Linked DNA regions of Astyanax mexicanus. The protein of the gene in region 2 purifies or fractionates together with the protein of the main gene of each other region. This does not show direct contact. Links are inferred from orthologs where the notes say so. Each region holds a gene or a part of one and is shown on either strand. Other genes may lie near its edges.

The links.
Region 1: the proteins of sdhaf1 (region 2) and sdhb purify together in Homo sapiens (co-immunoprecipitation; 3 studies listed by BioGRID and IntAct, with this or other methods). This does not show direct contact. The link is inferred for Astyanax mexicanus from reciprocal best matches to the Homo sapiens genes SDHAF1 and SDHB.

The regions. Positions count from the first base shown.
Region 1 is NC_064431.1:31,483,911-31,491,657, reverse strand, and holds the start of sdhb (succinate dehydrogenase [ubiquinone] iron-sulfur subunit, mitochondrial), read left to right. Parts: upstream 1-4,640; 5' UTR 4,641-4,681; coding exon 4,682-4,750; intron 4,751-7,415; coding exon 7,416-7,555; intron 7,556-7,747. Other genes in the region: mrpl20 (39S ribosomal protein L20, mitochondrial), read right to left, coding at 526-603, 1,170-1,280, 2,940-3,026. UniProt on the Homo sapiens protein: Iron-sulfur protein (IP) subunit of the succinate dehydrogenase complex (mitochondrial respiratory chain complex II), responsible for transferring electrons from succinate to ubiquinone (coenzyme Q).
Region 2 is NC_064424.1:5,385,910-5,392,334, forward strand, and holds sdhaf1 (succinate dehydrogenase assembly factor 1, mitochondrial), read left to right. Parts: upstream 1-4,068; 5' UTR 4,069-4,224; intron 4,225-5,206; 5' UTR 5,207-5,238; coding exon 5,239-5,487; 3' UTR 5,488-5,861; downstream 5,862-6,425.

The DNA of each region.
Region 1 (7,747 bases), on a different chromosome or scaffold from region 2:
CCCAGATTTACTAATCATAATGTAGGAACTAATATGAATTATTTAGTTAATTATTTTGTGGAGTCCCACAGGGTTATACTTTAGGTACAGGTCTTTAATATCAAATATATTAGTAAATAACTGATATGTGGACCTATATACAGAGTTGTATGTGTTTGTATATAAAACGTTTTACAGCATTTTAGCCACGCCCACTTATTCTAAAGTTACAAGGAGTGTTTTTCGCCAGCCATCAGCTGCCGGAGCCCCGAGAGAGAGAGAGAGAGATCACAATTGTCCTTGCTCTCTCTGGGTGGGTACAGTAGATGGCACTCTTCTTTCCCCTCATCACTCCTAGGGTGATGTGGATCAACACAAAGCTGCGTCTGTGAGCTGATGTATCAGAACCGAGTCGTTGAGCTTTCCTCTGAGCGTTAGCGCTGTGATGCTACTCTGCAATGCTAAATCAGCAGCAGTTCAAAATAGAGTACATGGTATTTTCTGCCAGTGTCAAAAATCAGTCAAACCAGAGGTTAATATACTCACTTTTACAAGGTTATGTATTAACGCTGGGTATTTCAGTCCATGCTCACGAGAAGCTGCAGCGATACGAGATATCCACAACTACAGCAGCAAAACAGAGCAGATAAACAGAACAGATTATAATATGTAAAAAAAAAAAACAATTCAATATCAACGATACTTTAATTCAATACTACAATACTTTAAGTCTCGAAAAGGGGCAGAAAGTGTAAATAAATCTGAATCTGCATAAACACAATTCTCTAAATTTTATAGAACAACATAAATCATTAGCAAAAATAATAACATATGAAATATTTAGAAATGTATACTACTATTACTACCACTACTACTACTACTACTAATAATAATAATACAATTATAGTAGCTTTGTAATATATTTTATAGCAACTTTGCCAAACTAGCTGTCAAGCGTTTTTTGCTATGAGTAAGAAGAACTGTGAAGTTTTACTAAAATTAAACCTAATGGTGACTTAAATGTGAGAGAAAATGCATTCAATAAAAACGACAACCACAAGGATCTAAACGACTTTGTGGGATATGTGGTAGAGCAGTATAGGATTTGTGAAAGGAACTGTGTTTAAAAAAAAAAAAAAAAAAAACATTAAAAACAAAAGCACAAATTGTGTCTGGTTTTATTGTCTCACCGTTCTCATGCTGCGTCGTTTGACCTTCCTGGCCTTGGTTGCGTAGACGAAGGCCCTGCAGACGGTTCGCACCGCCAGCTTATAGCAGCGGTTCTTTCTGCCCCTGAAGTGCTGCAACATTAAATAACACATAATTACAACAGATGATACCACCTTTACCTGCTCCAACACTGATACTATGATGCAGTGCTGTGAAATATATATATATATATATATATATATATATATATATATATATATATATATATATATATATATATATATTTCCTAGTTTCTGTCTTTCTTTATTGTAGCTTTACTAGAGGGTTTTCCAGCATGAATCAAAGTTTTAAGGCTATATTTCACTTAGAATATTGATTAAGACACAATGAATGCTGGAGACAAGCTCTATGTGTTTGTATATTTATGCTCCTATTTATGATATCACAGTTTATGTGCATGTATACACATTAACGCAATCTCATACTGCAGTAAATAATTATGAAGTATTTTGCCGCAGCATCCCAATTAACTAGCTCTCTTAGATTCAAGTCAGCGTATCAGTATAGGAGCTGGAGTGTGTTACACTCTATTGTTCTCTGAACCAATACAACCAAATCAACTTACAGTACCAGTCAAAAGTTTGGACACCTTAAATTCAGTGGTTTTCATTATTTTAGAAAGTTTGGCTTTGTAGATTAATACTAAACTCATCTAAACTATGAAGAAACACATTTAGAGTGTTACACAAACCAGAATATGCTTTATATATTTTACATTCTTCAAACAAAGTAGCACCTCTTGCTTAGAAGACATTCAGGCTTTCAGTTAACAGCTGTGCTGAACTCGTCAAGAGTTAATTACTTATATTTCTTGCCTCTTAAGCCTCTGAGAGCATCAGTTTTAATGTTTTAAAGAGGTAGAGTTGGTATACAGTAGGGGTGGGCAATATTAGATTGTATACAATACATCGTGACACAGAAATATCATGACATAAAAAATCCATATTGTGATAATAGGGCTGTTCTGTCTTAAAAGTAGTCTATTATTTACTGTGAAGCTTTAGGTGTATTTATTGTATAATTGTTTTAGTTTGCAGTTTATATGCATGCACTAAATATTCTGCAATATTATTTGCTGCATTATATTATTTTATGCTATATTATTTATTTTGCCACATTATGATGATACTGTTATACTCCTATACTATATTCCTATACTGTTAAGCAGGTTTTTATAATGTGAGATTCAAAGTTTGAACGCTAGGTGTCAGAAACGGGCCATAGAGTCTAAAAGCGGAGAGGGTGCGCATTTCTAGCGCAGAAAAACGGGCCAAAGAGTCTAAAAGCGGAGAGAGTGTGCATTTCTAGCGCAGAAAAAAATGGCCAAAAAGTGTAAAAGCGGAGAGAATTCGCATTTTTAGCGCAAAAAAACGGCCAAAGAGTCTAAAAGCGGAGAGGATGCACATTTCTAGCGCAGAAAAACGGGCCAAAGAGTCTAAAAGCGGAGAAGGTGCGCAGATGATAGAACTGGCACTCATCAGGACCAGTCCAAAAAAGGAAGGACAAGAGTTCCCTGTGTTGCATAGGATAAGTTTATCAGAATTTCCGGCCTATTTTAAGTATTTTGGTTTGTTTAACTGTTTTATTAAGTTACTACATGATTTTTTTTTATGTGTTTCTTCATAGTCTGGATCAGGTGTGTTCAGATTCAGAGCATTAGCACTGGAGGCTGGCTGGATATAAAGGTGAAGCTGAAGGTAAATTCTAAAGGTAAAAAGCTCCTCTTTACCCGCGCATTCTTCAGCAGCTCCTGCACCTTCCAGTAGCGGTCGGGTCCTCGGCTCCTGATCCAGCAGGGTAAAGTCAGAAACACCATGATGATCTATCTGTATCAGAAACACGCGCCGTGACTCTGACCTTAATCTCCAATACAGCAGCGTGACTGCTGTTCCGGAGCCACTGCGCACTGCGCATGCGCTATTCAGTAAAAGTCCCGTCAAGGTCATTTATTTACCATCTACATTTTTAATTAAAATATAATTAACAAAAAATATATAATAATAAATAAGAATAATAAAGTACGATAAGAACAATATATAAAATATTATTATTAAGATAAACGTATCCTGTGCCAAATATGTTATCAATAACAAAATAAAAGAACTGCTATATAAAGTCTTGGATAGACGCAACCCAGTTAATACTATTTTGTGTAAAAAAAAAAAAAACATGCATATAAGTGATGCATGTGTTTTTTGTAAAGGAGCCACAGACTCAATTAAATCCTTTTTTTAAATTATGTTTTTCTTGCTCTTTATGGATTGATTTTTTTAGACTTAAAGAGGAGATTGGGTAAGGAAATTCCTCTCAAAGTCCGATATATATTGTATATTTTTGGTTTGACCACAAGGAAAAAATTGTAGTAAATTTAATTAGGTATATTTATATATACACATTATATATACACATATGCATACATATATATTTATATATATATACATACTCAAAACTAAATTTGCTAAAAAGATGCCATTATTTCTAATAAGATGTAAATAATTATACACACTCATTGACATATTTTCGACAAATTAAAAATAAATAAATAAATAAATCCATGCATATTTTGAAGCTTTTCAGTTTTATTTGAATCCTACTTTTCTTTTTCTGTTTGTTTGTTTTTTTTGTTTAGGTTTGTTTGTTTCTTTCTGTTTTTGTTTCGATATGCTGGTTGTATATCATGTGAATTTGACCTATTCTTTCTATTTTAGGCTGTTGGATAGTATTGTTTACCAAATAATAAAAAAATTCTGGGGAGATATTAACTTGTGGTTTCTGAAGCTAGTAACTCTGATAAACTCTTCCTCTTCCTCTCATTGGCCGGTCCTGATGAGTGCCAGTTTCGTCATGGCGTTTTTTTAAATGTATTTTTTTTTTTGTAATAGCGACTGCACTTAAGGATACTTTCAAAGTTCTTGATTTTTTTTTTTTTTAGATTGAATGACCTTCTTAAAGTATTTTTTCTTTATTTAGTTGAGTAGTTGTTGCTTCTCATAATCTGGATTAGTACATTACTCAAATATTCACTATTCACTGTATACCTGTAACTCTACCTCTTCACGACTTTACTTTAATTGATGCTCTCAAACACTTTATTAAGAGACAAGAAATTCAAGTAATTAACTCTTGACGAGTTCAGCACAGCTGTTAACTGAAAGCGTGAATTTTCAGGTGACGAATCTGGAGAATGTTGAAGAATAAAAAATAAAAAAACACATTCTGGTATTTAGCTGGTAAACACTTTTTTATTTGCTAAATAATTTCATATGATTTTCTTCGTAGTTTTTGGTGAGTTTAGTATTAATCTAAAATGCATTTTTTTAAATAATGCAAAACACTGAATTTAAGGTGTTTCCAAAGTTTTGACTGGTAACTACCACACGTGGCCTCGGGGTGGCGGCGGTGCGGTGATGGTGTCAGGGGCAGCGCAGGGGCTGACGGGCCGGTGGAGGACAGTGTTCTGTAACAGTAGCGATGGCGGCGCTGTGTGTGTGCTCGGCTCGGCAGGGCGCTGCGGCTCTCCGCTCTTCCTCCGGCCTGCTGGTAAGATTTACACACACCGCCGGTCAGTTACCGGCATAAACTTATAATATAGACAACTTAAAACCGCGAGGTTCTGGCTTTTATATGTGTTATTGAGCCGGTTAGCCCGTTAGCTTAGCATAGCTCAGCGTAGCCAGGTCACTTATAGGTAGCTACTGACTTATGCTAACAGCTAACAATTAGCTTAGCTACTGTTAAGTTAGTTAGTCAACCAGATAAAAGTTTTAGGGGACAGTTCAGCTTTTTTATTTGTAGCTGGATGTGTAACTGAGCTGCTCTTTGGGTGTTTGCTAGCTAGTGTTATCCTAGCTAATTTGTATTTTAGCTGTAACAGCTAGCTAGCTGCTGAACCTCTGACCTTTAAACAGTAACTACATAGTTTTAGAGCTAATAATATTATCTAGCTTTAATTACTGACAACAAACATGTGCTGTAACTTATTAAGCCTTTCTTTGGCCAGTTAAATTAATTAAACACACACATATAGTGATAGCTTAGTGTACAGTTATGAAAGCTGTACAGTTATGAAACCTGTGTGCTATGTAACTAGTTAGCTACACTGTGGTGTAGAGTGACAGCTGGAGGAACAAGTAAACATCACCCTTATTCATTTCCTAAACCTCCCAGCTGAAGCTTAGTGAAGTTTCAGCTTTTATTTAATAATTTTATATACATACAGCTCTGGAAAAAACAGTTTTCTGATTTTGCTTTTTGTAGGTTTATGTTTGAGTAAAATTAACATTGTTTTATTACATAAACTATGACAACATTTCTCCCAAATTCCAAATAAAACATATTGTTTTTTACGTCATTTATTTGCAGAAAATGAGAGATGGCTGAAATAACAAAAAAAAGATGCAGAGCTTTGAGACCTCAAATAATGCAAAGAAAACAAGTTCATGTTTATGGTGGAACCCCATGTTCTCCTCCACCAGTCTTACACACTGCTTTTGGATAACTTTATGCTGCTTTATCCCTGGTGCAAAATTTAAGCAGTCCAGTTTGGTTTGATGGCTTGTGATCATCCATCTTCCTCTTAATTATATTCCAGAGGTTTTAAATTTGGTAAAATCAAAGAAACTTGTCATTTTTAAGTGGTCTCTTATTTTCTTTCAAGAGCTGTATAAGAATTTTAAATGCCATTCAGACAGATTTACTCAGATTTGTCAAGTCAAGTCAAGTCATTATCAACCGCTTTATCCATTAAGGGTCGCGGGGGGGTGCTGGAGCCTATCCCAGCAGGCATCGGGCAGAAGGCAGGATACACCCTGGACAGGCCGCCAATCCATCGCAGGGCAGACAGACACAGACAGACAAACAGACACATGCACTCGCACACTCACACCTAGGGGGCAATTTGTATACTCAAATTTGTATAGATTTGTTTTTTTAATACAGTTTTTAAGCAGTGTAACACCTTGATTACAACATCAACAATATGTTTTGATGTATTAAATCAAAACCCCTCTATAGTGATAAGTATCACGTCGCCAAGTTCTACCCAATACACAGCCCTACTTAAGAGTTATATGGGTTTACAATAGGGGGTGTTGTAATGAGGGCCGGAGTCCAGATCAGTGTGCTGATCTCCTGCTCCAACAGGTGAGTTTATTAGAGTTGCTTGATCAGGTAAATCTCCAAACTGTGCACTATATATATATATATATATATATATATATATATATATATATATATATATATATATATATATATATATATATAATTACATTACTTTACACAGTAATTTCTAGGACAATATATCGTTAAAAAAATATATATGTATTTATGATGTTATGGCGGGCCAATTTAAAATGTGCTGATTCAGCATCATTCATATTACAGCTTCTTGGGGAAACGTAGAATCAGAGATGGGTGTGTCATATCGTATCGTACACAATAATATCGCAAACATTTTTGAATATCGTGAACAATTGGAGATTATACCTTGAAATATCGTACCGTATTAACCACCCCTAATTATCACAGGGTACTACCTTTTTACTGTTTTTAGCAAAAGAAAAATTCACACTGTTCTCATTTCCCATTATATATCTACTAGAGACAGATTATATCTGTTTAGTATCTGTTTATTTTACTTTAATCCTGGATATATTGAGATATTTGGAGTGCATGATTATTATATTATATATATATATATATATATTATCAAATTAAATGCAATAATAAAATTAAATTTTCATTTTCATGCAGTAGTGTATTCTTGAAATATATATTTTTAATTTTGTGTTTTGTCACATCGCCAAGAGTATTGTAATCGCGGAAATACCATAAAGTATTATTAGATTATTTTAGCGATATTATTTTAGGGCCATATCGCCCTTTCCCTTTTTTTGGGGGCCTAATATCATCTCTAGAAGGAAACACAACTTCAGGGATCCACTGCTCGCTATCACAGTCTCTGTTTGGCTCATATGTCCCACAGTACCGTAATTAAGTTATGAGATCCAGATCTCATATTTCCCCTGTTGTTTGTGATGTTTTGTTGTATTAAATCCCCGTTGTTGATCTGAACGGTATCCTGTGTGTTTTCTCCTCTCTCTCTGCACAGATGAGAGCTGTTAGTGTTTAGGAGAATCTGGTTCTGTCGTGCTGTAAATGCTCCTTGTTTATTTTACCTTTGTTTATTTTCTGGGTTCTCTCTCAGGCTTTGCGGTATGTCCAGACCGCTGCAGCTGCGGCTCCGGCGGTTCAGCCGCGGATTAAGAAGTTCCAGATTTACCGCTGGGACCCGGACACACCCGGAGACAAACCCCGCATGCAGACCTACGAGGTCGACCTCAACGCGTGAGTGCTGATCCTCATCCTGTTGTGTAGAGTTGTCTTGATTACATTTTTCGAATCATTTGATTTTAAGTATCTGCCAATATGGAGTCCCGATCCGATACAATACAGGAAAATACAGAATTAATTTTTAACCCTTTTAATACTGAGTTATGTTCCAGTAACGACAAAATATAATGCACATAAAATAAAAAA
Region 2 (6,425 bases):
TTAAAACGCAACATACGTAAACGTAGCGAACAACAACATTTACAAAGCAAACAAAAATATGACAACGCAACTACATTTCAGAAACGCTTCATTAAGGGAACGCAAATACATTGCCTCACCGGAAATGCTCCTGGCCGCTAGAGGGCAATGTTTTCTGAAATGCTGCGTTTTCTTAATGTACAGTGTGTCCCAATTCAGGGGCTGCATTCTTCGAAGGACGCGGTCTACGAAGGTGTGTCCTTAGAAGGATGGGTAGGCTGCGATGGCAGTACTGAAATGGGACAGTCTACCCTACGGAGTATTTCCTGTTTCCTGTTTGAGATTCTACCCGCCACAACCAAAGTCAGAGCTGAGAAATGAGCCAGAGATTTTGATTCTAGTTTTGCTTCAGACCAAAAAATACCCAATTAATTAAGTCCAGGTTAATAAACTGTGCAGTTACTTAAATGTTTTAAATGTGAACGGATGGAACTGAACATAAACAAATAAAAGGGCGCTTGAAATGAAGTTGAAAAAAGAGAATAAAATAGAATAATGTATTATTTAGTTTATATATATTGTATTATATATTATATATTTATTATGTATTATGTCGTTTAAAGATATATAAATACTATATAAAAAGAAATATACTTATAAATAAACTAAATAATACATTAATACATACACACACACACATATATATATATATATATAAATTATATAATTTATAATATCTATAAGTATTTATATATCTATAAACTACATAATACTACATAATACAGTTGACTCCTCTGCTGACTCCGCCTTTTCGTGCTGAAATAAGTCGGCATGCAATGAATCTTGGGATACTGTAGGCTGTGAAGGATACACCCGGTGCATCCTTCGTTTCCGAGGAAAAGAAGGCTGCATTCGTCGGCTGCATTCGAAGGAGTCTTCGAAATGGGACAGCCTAGTCGCACCGCAGTGACGTAATCGCCTTCAAATTAATCCTTCGAAGGATGCAGCCCCTGAATTGGGACACACCTTTTGTCTGCTTTGTGTGCCTTTCTTGGCCACCTTAGTTTAGAGGTTTGTACATTAATATTTTCACACTATTAAAAAGACTATATAGCATTAGCCTGTAGTATGCAATTGGCATGCAGCTACTGTCAGCTACCAATCACATTGCAGAGTCAGAACTAACTGTGGTATAATAGCTGATATTTAAATGTAAATAAAATAATCTTAGATTGTCAAAGTGGAATAATTATATTTGTAGTAGTGGGGCCAAACATATTGTATTAATCACAGCAATATTATGTGATAATTAATGATTAAAATCATGCATAAAATATGTTAACTCTGGTACTTCCCTCTATTTGTGTATTTTGGGAGGCAGACTGTATTAACTCTGTGCAATTAATCCTTTATTTTTATATTTTCTTCATCATACAAATCAAGAAATTCCAACACTACTAAATATACATATACCTCCCTGCTAATTAATCTGAAAAATTGGTGGCATTCCCCTTATTAAAATGGATGTAAATGTTAAATTAGACATGACCTATTGTGGCACAATGAAAATACATAATTTAGGGTCTTCCAGCCTTTACCGGTTAGGCTCTTTTTTTTAAACCTCAAGTAAGCACTCAGTCAACCATAACTATATTTATTCCATATTTAGTTTGGGTTCCATTCCATTATATAAATGTTTTAATTCGATTTCTTTAATTTATCTAGTATTTACATACTGTATTTTTTCCAGCTCAGCATATCACCTGATAGCATGCTGGGAGTGATTGGTAATCATTTCTTTCAAGGCTTCTGTTTTTTCCTTTATTCTTTATTCAGCAAACAATAAGTCCGATATTAATCAATATATAGCATGTGGGCCAAAAAACAAAATCATACCTGAATGTATGTACGAATTATATGCTCATAAATGCTGATTCAGCTTGAGAACAGCACACCTGTCAGAATGTATTAAGCTGTATCACGATGTTTTTTATGTGTATTTGCTTGAAACATATAGTAAACCAGATTTTGAAAGCTGGAAAATATTAAATACTGAATTTTGCTGAATCAGCTGTAATTCCACATGGCACAAGCTGAATGTGCTTAGCAGCTACAGGTTGGAGGCCTTTGAGCCAATGGGAGAAGCATGATGTGAAGTGCAGGGGTTGTGTTCCCCTCAGTCAGGGGGCTCACCGTCCGCTTGAGGTTAGCCCCAGTCTAAGTTATTTTCCTTAGAAACTTCTGTTTTATGTAATATAAGCTCAAGCTGCCTCTTTGAAACTGCTGTATGGTAGTCTACCTGTGCGCTGAAGCATTTATTCGCTTCAGCCAAAGTTCAGCAAGCCTCATCCTTCCCATACAGAAATATATAAAAGGTGCCTTTATTAATAAATGATATACTGTGAGCAGGGTAGTGTAATGTATAGGGTAACCAGTAATGCAAATATAACTAATGTACTACAGCAGGTCTTGAGGTCTTGCTCTATACTGAATTAATAGGAAATTGTGACCAAATGTTTGTGTTTGGTTTGTTTGAAAGAAAAATGTACTGTATGATGTACCATTATCATTTACCATTACCATTTCTAGGGTGTTTACAGTAATCTAATCAATTATAGTGCAATAATGATCAACATACATGTATATGATATGCAATATAGATGTCCCAGAGCTCAGGAATGGCTGTGAACTCAATGCTATCTTTGAGTATTTCCATGCAGTGAAATACCGGCACACTTTAACCAGAATCAACCTGTATCTGCAGAAAACAGGGCTGTTCTTCAGAGAACGTCCGTCTCCATCAGCCTGCTGGTTCAAATACAATATATTTAATATATGGTATGTATTGCACTTTCGCAGTATTGCACTCCAGCAGGCCGGGTTCAGTCTCACATCTCAAAATTGTAGGCTATAAAATTAACTCAGTAGATTAACTCAGTTTGCACAGGATGATGTAGAAAATATTTTCTTAATAAAAGAAAATGTTTCCTTTTTGCAGTCTGTCTTTGTCTTTTATGATCAACCACAAAATCATATATTTTTTGCATATATTCTTTGCCTCCTTTCTGTAAAACCTGTAAAAAATATTTTGTGTACAGTAGTGATGGGAATTACTGCTCTTTTTAGAGAGTTGGTAATTTTGTCTTTATATATATATATATATATGAAAATTAAGAGATTATCAGTTTCTCTGATTTTGCTATTTATAGGTTTATGTTTGAGTAAAACAAACATTGTTGTTTTATTCTATAAACTACAGGCAACATTTCTCCCACATTCCAAATAAATTATTGTCATTTAGAGCATTTATTTGCATAAAATGAGAAATGTCTGAAATAATAAATAAGATGATTTCAGACTTCAAATATTGCAAAGAAAACAGGTTCATATTCATTAAGAGTTTTTCAAGAGGAGAAAAACCTGCCATTGGCCACCTTAACCCTTTCTCATAACTGGATTCACCTGTGAATGTAGGTCAAGGGTCAATGAGCTTACAATCACATTTTGTGCTCCAATAATTAGTGCTAAAGATATGCCAATCAATAAAACAACAAGGGAGTCCAAATTTAGTTTAAAGAATTATTGCAAACTTTCTGTAAATCCTATAAACTATAAAAATTTAATCCTATAAAAATTTCACTTCTCAAACATCACTGTGTTTTTCTGTTATATGATATATTTAACTGAAAGTGCTGATCTGAACAACCAATGATTTATAAAGGAAAATCAGGAAAATGATCAGGGGTTTCTAAACTTTTCCATACCACTGTAGCTGTAATATAGTCTTCAATATTACATTTACAATGTAAAAAAATCATAAAAAGAAAGAAAACACAGAAAGAAAAGAGGTGTGTCCAAAGCAGTGCAGTGACCAGTGATACTGTACAGGTCAACAGTAAATAAAAAGCAAATAGTAAATAAATGTTGATATTAAACATCGTGTTGATAAGTTCCTTAATTATTAAGGAAGATTTTAGAATATGTTTATTGATGCCTCCACTAAAGGATTGGACTATATAAATGTGTAAAAAAAGTTAATGTTGTGTAATAATTAGAGGCGCTGCAGGGTTCAGCCACTAGTGGGCGGTGTTGTAGAGAACCGGTGCTGCAGAGACACAACGAAGAAAACAGCATAAGGTCAAAACAGAGGAGTGGGACTGTAGAAATTAATAAGATGATTTTTATACAAATTAAAGTTTTCTGCTGTCACTAACACGAAATATCCGCAGGACTGAGACACAGCAGGTAAGATACAGTACTGCTGCTTATGGAGAGATAATACAGCTCTGTGATTTTACTTTAAATAAGCTAGTTAGCTACCAAGGTAGGTATTTAACTTAGTTAGCTTAGCTAGCTAAACTCTTACTTTATTATTATCTAGAGATAATTAACTAGTTCACTCCGGTCATGGTAATTCTTAGCTAACTACCTCCATTATAGAAAATAATTTCAAATACCTAGAGCTATAAATAAAAGTAGAATAGTCTGTGGTGTTTCAGTAGTTAGCTTAGCTTAGTTTATTAGCTGAGTTAGCTAGCCTAACTGTCTGAGTATTTGTATATATAATGTATTCAGCTCTGGAAAAAAAAAATAAAAGAGCACTTCAGTTTCTGAATCAGTTTCTCTGATTTTGCTATTTATAGGTTTATGTTTTGAGTAAAATTAACATTGTTGTTTTTTCATTAAACTACAGACAACATTTCTCCCAAGTTACAAATAAAAATATTGTCATTTAAGAGCATTTATTTACAGAAAATGAGAAATGGCTGAAATAATAAAAAAGATGCAGAGCTTTCAGACCTCAAATAATGCAAATAAAACAAGTTCATATTCATAAAGTTTTAAGAGTTCAGAAATCAATATTTGGTGGAATATTCCTAGTTTGCATGCATGTTGGCATGTTATCCTCCACCAGTCTTACACACTGCTTTTGGATAACTTTTTGCCACTCCTGGTGCACAAATTCAAGCAGTTCAACTTAATTCTCCCATACTTTCTTATTATTCATAATATGCTTCATGTCATCCAATTAAACTGGACTAGTTAGCCTTTGTGTAATGAAATATACAGTTTGGTTATTGTCTCTAAATAGGCTTAAGAAATTATTTTGTTTATGTATACATACATTTTTCACAGTACCATAAAATAGTTTTCATATTTTCTACCTAAACATCACAAATTATTGTTTCACTTGATATTTGTCTGCATTTGTCTCTATTTTCTCCAGGTTTCTCTTCCCACACTCCCTCAGGAATCGCTATGGCGCGCCACAGTAAGATACAGAAACAGGTCTTGTCGCTGTATCGTCAGTTTCTGCGCGCAGGACGAGACAAGCCAGGGTTTGTCCCGAGGATACAGGAGGAGTTCCGAGCGAATGCTGCTATTAAAAAGACAGACATCATGCACATCGAGTACCTCCTGCGACGCGGTCAGCGGCAGCTAGAACAGCTCAAAGATGTGAACACTAAACAGCTGGGAGTCTTCAGCAAATCCAACGAGGACAGCTGATGATGGACTGCTGGATCTGACATGCAGACTGCGGACAGTATTCCAGGAGATGGATGAAATATTATTAAAAATATGGAACATCATGTTGATGGGTCTTTAAATTATGAGAGACATTTTCTTTTTAAGAACGTGTGTTTGTGAGCATAAATTATTTTATGTGTGGTTACTTTTAGGCTCTAGGTGTTTCATCATCCCTGTATCCCACTATCACACTTCCATATCCACCTTATTTATATTATTAATATCATCCAAACGGAGTATCCTGTGTAGTGGCAAATATCAGACATGTTTACCTGGTGTATCCACTGGCAGTGGAGCATGACCATATGACCATCAAGAAATTTAAATGAATAAAGAAGTCTCTTTTATTAAAAGGCAGTGTTTTATGGGCTATGTTTGCTACTCCTTCAAGCTTTTTATAAGGTCAGTAATATAACCAGAAATGTGCATTTCCTGAAGGGAACACAGAATGTTTGTGAAGCTCAATGGAAGGAGCGAGGGATGAAAGAAATACAAACAGATGAGTACATGTAGTTTGGTGGCTGTCAGATAAAGGGGACACTGGGAATTTGGTTGAGGCAAAATGAATGGGAATAAAATGGGAGACAAATATGACAAATACATAAATCGTCATTGTCCAATGAAAAAAAAAATATCTGTTTTTGTCGATTTTTAGTTTACTACATAATTTGAACAGACAAACTATCCCTTATATTGTGTCAAGATTTCTTGATTAACAGACCAAAAGAAAAATTGGAAAAAATAACCTGAAATAAACTTATTTTACATTGACTTCTATTAAAAAAATATATTCTGTTGCTGTTTTGGAGATGCTTGTTTTTCATTGGACAGTGACGAAATGCAGGTCAAAATTACACCTTATATTCAATGTTTTTTTTTTTTCATTATTTGAAAATTGTCTGCTTTGTAGATTAAAG